Linked DNA regions of Cricetulus griseus. The protein of the gene in region 1 interacts with the protein of each later gene in a biochemical or structural test. Links are inferred from orthologs where the notes say so. Each region holds a gene or a part of one and is shown on either strand. Other genes may lie near its edges.

The links.
Region 2: the proteins of Nup85 (region 1) and Nup43 form a complex in vitro, tested with the Homo sapiens proteins (2 studies listed by BioGRID). The link is inferred for Cricetulus griseus from reciprocal best matches to the Homo sapiens genes NUP85 and NUP43.

What each region holds. Positions count from the first base shown.
Region 1 is NC_048600.1:128,160,327-128,164,139, reverse strand, and holds part of Nup85 (nuclear pore complex protein Nup85), read right to left. Parts: intron 2,819-3,813; coding exon 2,653-2,818; intron 2,074-2,652; coding exon 2,003-2,073; intron 1,771-2,002; coding exon 1,727-1,770; intron 1-1,726. UniProt on the Homo sapiens protein: Essential component of the nuclear pore complex (NPC) that seems to be required for NPC assembly and maintenance. As part of the NPC Nup107-160 subcomplex plays a role in RNA export and in tethering NUP96/Nup98 and NUP153 to the nucleus.
Region 2 is NC_048595.1:280,415,589-280,420,104, reverse strand, and holds the start of Nup43 (nucleoporin Nup43), read left to right. Parts: upstream 1-1,403; 5' UTR 1,404-1,470; coding exon 1,471-1,590; intron 1,591-1,905; coding exon 1,906-2,028; intron 2,029-2,998; coding exon 2,999-3,076; intron 3,077-4,475; coding exon 4,476-4,516. UniProt on the Homo sapiens protein: Component of the Nup107-160 subcomplex of the nuclear pore complex (NPC). The Nup107-160 subcomplex is required for the assembly of a functional NPC.

The DNA.
Region 1 (3,813 bases):
CTAGCACTTGGAATGTGAGGGTAGGGGATGAAGACTTCCAGGCCAGCCTGAACTTATGAAATCCTACTTAAAAAAAGAAAAAGTAAAAGAGAAAGGAGAAGGAGAAAGAAAGGTGCATATGCCATGGACTGAAGCTTAGGAAACAGGCTATTAAAGGCTGAGTCCAGGCGCTGAAGAAGATCTCAGCCATGGAGAACACTGGCTGTTCTTGCAAAAAGCCTGGGTTTGATTCCCAGCGACCATATGGTTGGCAGCTACAACCATCGGAAACTCCAGTTCCAGGGGATCTGACATCTGCTCTGACCTCTGTAAGGATGGTACACACGGTACACAGAAACACATGCAGGCAAAATACCCATCCACATAAAATAAAATAAATACATCTAAAAAAATTAATCCCAACACTCGGGAGGCAGAGGCAGGCGGTTCTGTGAGTTCGAGACCAGCCTGGTCTACAAGAGCTAGTTCCAGGACAGTCTCCAAAGCCACAGGGAAACCCTGTCTTGAAAAACAAAAAAAAAAAACCAAAAAACAAAACAAAAAAAATATCTAAAAAGAAAAAAAAACCCAGCAAAGTCCAGAGCAGGTAAGGTAGCTCATGTTGTAAACCCAGCATTCAGGAGTCTACAACAGAAAGATCAATAATACAAGTCCACTGCCAGCTTGTGAGTGAGTCCCTGTCTCAAAAAGCAACAGAAGGGCTGGAGACATTGATGTGTAGGTAAGAGAATTTGTTGTGCAAACATGAGGTGCAGAGTTTGGGTCATAGCACACACAAGCTGGAGACCTGAGCTACGGGAGAACAGAGAGAGGAGGATCACTGGAGTTTGCAGACTTCTAGTCTAGCCAAGAAATCACAACACCTATGTCCAAGGAGAAACAGAATAAGCAGAGAATGATAGAGCACATCCAACACCCTCTTCCGTCCCCCACATGCACGCACAGGTGACCTGCATGTGCAGACACTCAAAGAACACACACAATAAAAATAAGTAAAAATAAAGGGGACATGTAGACTGAGGGTGTGTATATATAGCTCAGTGACAGTGAAGGCGCTTAGCACACCGAGGGTACTGGGACTAAGACCCAACACTGTAGAACCTGAAAGAGCAAAGCCTGACATAAGGCCCCCCACAAAAGATAAGGAGACCTGGACCCTGTCCTTACCAAGATGAAGTGAAGTGGCGCCACCCCTCCCCCAAATCATCACTACGCTTCAGTTCAGACATCTTAACTCCTTGAACCTTGGTTCTCAGGAAAACACACACCGTGCCAGGCCAAGGCAGGGTATTGTCCCGGTTCATCCATTACAAAAGCACTGGCGTCCCACTAAGAAAAAAATCCTGTATGTCACCTTCTGGTCCTAATGAATGACTCCCACTTGCTGCTCAGCAAAAGTGAAGTGTTGAGTATGTGAGACTAAATGGTGGTCCCAAAAGCTCAACTCTCCATCTCAAATGACAGTTTACCAATACCATGTGCTTAAGACTCATCGCGTCCACAGGAAATAAAAACTCAGTATTTCTCAAGCAGACCCTGTGTTCCAATGGGTGAGGCCTTTGAAGGAAACACCAGCGCTTTCAAAGCCACACCTGCCAGCCCAACGAGCTGCTGGTCTACCTGGAAAGAAGAAACCTCCTGCAACAGTGACTATAAAGCCACCCTAGACACTAAGGACACGGACAGACATAATGTCGCCAATACAATGAAAACAGCTACCCCTTACCTGGCTGCTGAACTGCCGACCACTGGCTGGATCTTTAGCAGCAACTAGCAGAATACAAAACATCATAAGTGAACACTCAATCAGAATTGATTATATTCAATCTACTAAGCTCTCCTTCTAAGCTCAGTATGGCTCCTGTCTTTGTTTTAACACCCACCCATTTTCATTGAAAACTTTTATATACAAGGCCCCACTTTGAACTGCAAAGTAGTCTCCTTAAAGGCCTCTGGAGAAAACAGCACCAGACACATTCTTCAAATATACCAAAGTCCTTACTTGCAACCTGGTGCATTTCTTCCATACAGGCCCGTATGACTGATCGGTAATTCTTACTCACTCGAACCAATCTACAAAGAAATGAAATGGCATACAAGAGAATATTAAAAAAAAAAAAAATAGGAAAAGGACAGGTGTTATTGTCTCACACCTTTACTCACAGAACTTTGGAGGCAGAGGCAGCTTGCAGCTCTGGCTGGCCTGGAACTCACTATGCAGACCAGGTTGGCTGCCTCATTTTCAAATCTCACAAAAATGAAATCTAATTCAAGGCTTTCCTTTTATTTATTTATTACATACAAGGGACACATACAAAAAAATGAAGTAGGAACTGTAAAGCTTATCAAGCCGGGCGTTGGTGGCGCAGCCTTTAAACCCAGCACTTGGGAGGCAGAGGCAGCCGGATCTCTGAGAGTTCTAAGCCTGCCTGGTCTCCAGAGTGAGTTCCAGGACAGGCTCCAAAGTCCCAGAGAAACAGTGTCTCGAAAAACCAAAACAAGAAAAAGAAGAGCTTATCAAACCAGTAAGTAAGTATTACAACAGTATTTATACAATTTAGAAGTCCCCTTCTGGGAAAATACACAGGAGACCCGTGGCCCCCCATCACTCACAAGGATAAGGACTTCAGCATCCACCAGCACCCTACTTACTGAGCTTTCCTGGATTTTCCGGTCAATTCCTCCTCAATTCTTTGCAGGCCAATGAAGATTCCATGGGATTCATTGAAGAGTTTTCTCAAAATCTGAGAGTAAACATCTACATCTTTCCGTACGATGTAGATAAAGGGGCAGCTCGGCACCTTCTCGGATGTGTCTACTACAGAACAGGGAAAAAAATTAATTCAACATCTACCATTTCCACAAAAGAGAAACCATTCTAGTATTTCTAGTTCTTTAATTACAAAAACTGGCTGAGCAGGGGGCACACATCTATACACTCAGCCCTTGTAAGACTAAAGTGGGACGATTAGAAATTACAAAATAATAGTCACATACAATTCCATGCAAGTTAGGCCTACCTTTAAAAAAAACCAACGTTTTCTTTTCAGAGGATGGGGAATTGGGGAATGTTGAGATGGGGTCTCACTCCATAGCCAAGAATGGTGTCAAAGTCTTGGCAATCCTGCCTCAGTGCTAGGATTACAAACGGGCAACACAGCAGTTTCCTCTTTCTGGTGATACTGATGATCTAATTAAGGGTGTTTCACACACTATACAAGTTTATCCCCCAAGCCACTCAGTGATATATTAAGTATCCTTGGTTTTGCTTTGGTTTTTGGCTTTTTTTTTTAATGTTTTTTTCGAGACAGGGTTTCTCTGTGTAGCTTTGGAGCCTGAACTGGCACTCGCTCTGGAGACCAGGCTGGTCTCGAACTCACAGAGATCCACCTGCCTCTGCCTCCTGAGTGCTGGGATTAAAGGCGTGCGCCACCACCACCACCGCCTGGCGTTATCCTTGGTTTTTGAGAAAGGGTTTGGCAATGTATCCCAGGCTGGCCTCGAACTCTCCACCCTCCTGCTACTACACTGCATGGCAGAGATTCCCGGACTGCAAGCATGGCATTAACTATTGGTTAATAAAGAAGCTGAACTGGCCAATAGCCAGGCAGAGCAGAGTCAGGTGGGAAATCCAAGCAGATACAGGAAGGCAGAGTCAGGGAGAGGCCAGCAGCCACAGGGGAAGCAAGATGTGAGCTAACAAGCCAGGAGCCTTGTGGTAAAATATAGACTAATAGAAATAGGTTAATTTGCTGGGCGTTGGTGGCGCACGCCTTTAATCCCAGCACTCAGGAGGCAGAGGCAGGTGGATCT
Region 2 (4,516 bases), on another chromosome or scaffold:
AATGGAGCTACAATGTAGGTTCTGGGAACTGAACCCAGGCTCTCTGTGAGAGCAAGTGCTGCTAGTGGTTGAGCAATCTCTCCAGCCCTAAGGTTTAAAAAACATTTTCTATGTGCAGTGAAGTTCATCTAAGTGCTCACGGCTGGTACAAGATATTTCCTCCTGAATTTTTAAGAAAAAATTTTATACTTAGATTTTTCTCTGACAGGTCTAGAGAGCTAATTCAGCAGTTAAAAGGATTTGCTGATCTTTCAGAGGGCTAGTGTTGGCTTCTCACCTCCTGCATGGGTTTTGTGAGCTCACACCTGCCTCTATTTCCAGCTCCTGAATGTCCAGAGCCTCTTCAGGCACCTGTCTTCACATGCACATATACACATGCAGACAGTTACATATAGATAACTTAAAATAAAGTAAAAATAAAGTTATTTTAAGGGCTGAGAAGATAGCTCAGCAGTTAAAAGCACATGTTGCTCTTCCAGAGGACCTGAGTTCATTTCCCAGCACCCACATGGCAGTTCACAACCTTCTGTAACTCCAGTTCCAGGGACTCCACCAGGCATGAACACATGCAATAGACACAAACATACAGGCAAACAAAATATTCACACACACAATTTAAAAATTTCAAAAATTAAATATTTTTAAAGATTTATCAAAAGAATAATAAATGCAATTGTTTTCCTACCTCTAAATCTGTCATGAATTTTTTTTGGGGGAGTTGGAGGTAGATAGTGCATAAAAACATATTCGCTAATAAAATTAAATATAGCCGGGCGGTGGTGGCGAGCGCCTTTAGTCCCAGCACTCAGGAGGTAGAGGCAGGTGGATGGATCTCTGTGAGTTCGAGATCAGCCTGGTCTACAAGAGCTAGTTCCAGGACAGCCTCCAAAGCCACAAAGAAACACAGTCTCAAAAAAAAATTAAAGTAAATATACATTTGTGAAAGTATAAAATCCAATGTGAAGCTCCACAGCTTCTGAATGGCTGAGCTAAATGTATGGAAGTTCATTGGATTGTATAGTCTTTGGGTCAGGTTAATTTTGGTGTGTGATGATTTTTTTTATTTACAACGTATTTTAAATTTATTTTATTTTTTTATTTACAACGTTTTAATAATAAAGTTTTTATAATGAACAAAAAACCCTAAATATTAAAAAAAAAACTTCTCACATTACACGACCATTGCACAAATAATATATTGTCAGTGTTCCTAGATTGATTTCGCCTTAGGAGTGTGTCTTTTTTGTTGAAGGTTTTAGGGGCTGGATCTTTGTTCATAACTACTTTCAAGAGTGCGGTATCACAACCTCCTTCAGTTTAGGGGCTGGCGCGTCCTCCTGATGTCGAGAATTGGCTGTCTGCAGCCACCGTCTTTCCCGTGGGGTCTCATCCAATCAGAACCGCGCAGGAAGGGGCGGGCCTGAGGAGCGCGCAGTGTGCTTTCTGCTGAAGCTTCTTCTAGATTTCAGCATGGAGGAAATTTATGCTAAGTTCGTGTCTCAGAAAATTAGCAAGACCCGCTGGCGGCCAGTGCCTTCTGGGAGCCTGCAGACCGCAGAGACCTTCGCTACGGGCTCTTGGGACAATGAGGTACCCGGCCCCGGGCGGGTCCCCGGCTGCTCTGCTCCACGCCCCTCGCGCCAGCGCGCGAAAGCAGCTTATGGCTTGCGGGTCTCCTGCTTGGCTGCCCTACCTCAGAGCCCTGGTGGTGTATTTGAGCCTCGGATCTGGTTTTAAACCTTCACCAAGTTTGTAGACATACCGTCCGAAACGGGCCACATCTCTGATCGTTTCAGATCTTAACATACCGTTTGTCTGAGATGCTTTTGGAGCAAGGACGCCCGAAAGGCAGTCTGAATTAGTTGACGTTTTCGTCACCCCAAGATAAAACTTTCTGCTTTGCAGGAAAACTGCGTTTCACTGTGGTCTATTGGAGATTTTGGGAATTTGGATTCTGACGGAGGGTTTGAAGGAGACCATCAATTACTGTGCGATATCAGACATCATGGTGATGTCATGGATTTACAGGTAAATCTGAGTTGTCCCCCAAAGCTAAACTTGGAAATCTGATCATACATTTAGCACCGTATAGTTCGTCTACTGTCATTCCTGGTTTACAGGACACTAATCTCTGAATTGTAATTTACTACATCGTTGTTTAGGCACTTAGTGACAGAAGTGGGGTTGGGAAAGTGAATTTGTGTCAATCAGTTTGAAAATTAATTGTCCAAGCCGGCATGTGGGTGCAAGCCTCTAATTCCAGCCCATGGCAGGCAGAGGCAGGAGGGATCACAAGGCCAGACTGAGCCACATTTTGAGACCTTATCTCAAAAAACAAACAAAATTTGCCCATCTACTTGCCAAATGCTGTTTGGTGAGTGTTATACAGGTATGTTAATTTGCATTGCATGTCTGTGAGTCAGGGTTTATCATGTGTTGTGATGGGGATGCTCTCAGGATCTCACATGTGCTAGGGAAGTGCTCTCTACCTTTGAGTGTATGTATCCCAGCCGTCAAGTTCTGTTCACCACTTTACTAATCAGACAGATGAGACTGGTATCTTTTGAACATATAGAAAATATTGTGCAGGACTGCTCTTCTATGGTTTCTTTAACAACTTAGTAGAAATTAGATGAGCTTGGGCATCAGAGAGTCTCCCTCATAAAAAAAAAATCTGTATCAATTCAGATGCAGTGCATTTTACTCAGTAAAAAGCTGCCTACTCTTACGATTGACACATTTCAAGACTTTTATCATTGCAGCCCCAAATCAAAATGTAGAGTAAAACTTTAAACTTACTATTTATCCTTCATGAAAATACTCATAGTTTATATAAAAATTTCTTAAACATTTTAACACATTTAACATATTTTATTTGTTTCAGCTGCTTGCTTCTTTAAATCCTTACAAGGTTTGCTATTAGTCAAGGTGAAGTAATGGACTTTTTTCTCCTTAATATTTCCAAATCTATAATAATAAGCAGAATTTTTCTATTTAGTTTTTTGATCAGGAAAGAATCGTAGCTGCTTCGTCAACAGGATGTGTAACAGTGTTTCTTCATCATCCAAATAACCAGGTAAAGAACCTTCACAGGGAAAGTGAACTTTTATTTTAATTATTTATGAGAAGACTTACAGAAGATTGTGTGTAATGAGTTCACAGTGTTTTACAGTGTTTAAACATGAAGCGAGTCAATCATGGGCATTCTCTTGGAGCTCCTACATTTGCAGAGGTTGAAAAAAAAGAATTGTTTGATCACAGTAGCTGAAGACTAGATTGGGCAACACAGCACAATCCTAGCTTAAAGAGGAGTCATGATAGGAGAGGATACTGTCCACTTTTTAGAGGTTGATGAGGGTCAAAACATGCATTTTTGCACTGAGCTTCACCCCCAGCCCCATATTACTTTTTGATAAAGTCTACATCATGCTTACATACGTGTCTTCGGAAATTGGACATCCTTTAAATAAACTATTTATTAGCTCTAGCAGTAACATCTGCTGGTGGTAATTTCCCTACAGTGTTTTGTCAGCTCCTTTCATAGTCTTTTAGAGTTGAAAGGAGAAAGCCAGCACCCAGGCTTGAATGCATGCTCAGCTTCTATCTCAAATATCAAAAGGAGGGCAGAACAGCTGTTTTATTTTTAATGGGTAGAAGCCAGGTTTTCAGAAAACCCATGACTTAAAGACCTTTCTCTTGGGGCGGGTGAGGTGGCTCGAGAGTGTGTACTGCTCTTGGAGAGAACCCTGGTTCCATTCCTAGCACCCACACCAGGTACCTCACAATAGCTTATAAAGCTTATTACTCCAACTCTAGAGGATCTAATATGCTCGTCTAGCCTGAGTAGGCACCGGCACAGGTGTGATGCACATAAACTCAGGCAGGCAGGCACACACACATACTCATAACTTTGTTTTTTTGCGACAGGATCTCATTATTGTAGACCTGGCTGGTCTGGAACTCACTATGTCAATCAGGCTGGCATTAAACTAAGAAATCCCCCTGCCTCTGCTTCTTGAGTGCTGGGATCAAAGGTATGTGCCACCATGCCCATCTGTAATTCATTTTCTTAATGGAATCATGTAGAAAAAGATGTAGAGGTTAGTCCCTTATGTATTAGTTTATTCCCCTAACATTCAGCTACTTGGTAACAAAAATTAGTAGTTTGAAATAAATGTGGTGAGTCTAATTAGAATGTACAAAAATTTGATGGAAGTAGTTTCTAAACATCAGTATGCTCAAATACAAAGAAAAGGGGAGAATTGTTCTCCTACAAGGACATAAGATATAATAAGATATAATCTTATAATCTTAAAAATACTGTTATTGGGCAGACTTGGTGGCTCACTTATAATCCCAAACACTTGGAAGTCCTGTCTCAAAAAAAAAAAAAAAAAAAAAAAAAATTCTGGGAAGAAGGGCTCATTCTTCAGAACTTTGCTCTGATTGATAACATGCTCATTTCTGATGCCTAGACTCTGTCAGTCAATCAGCAGTGGCCAGCAGCTCACCACCA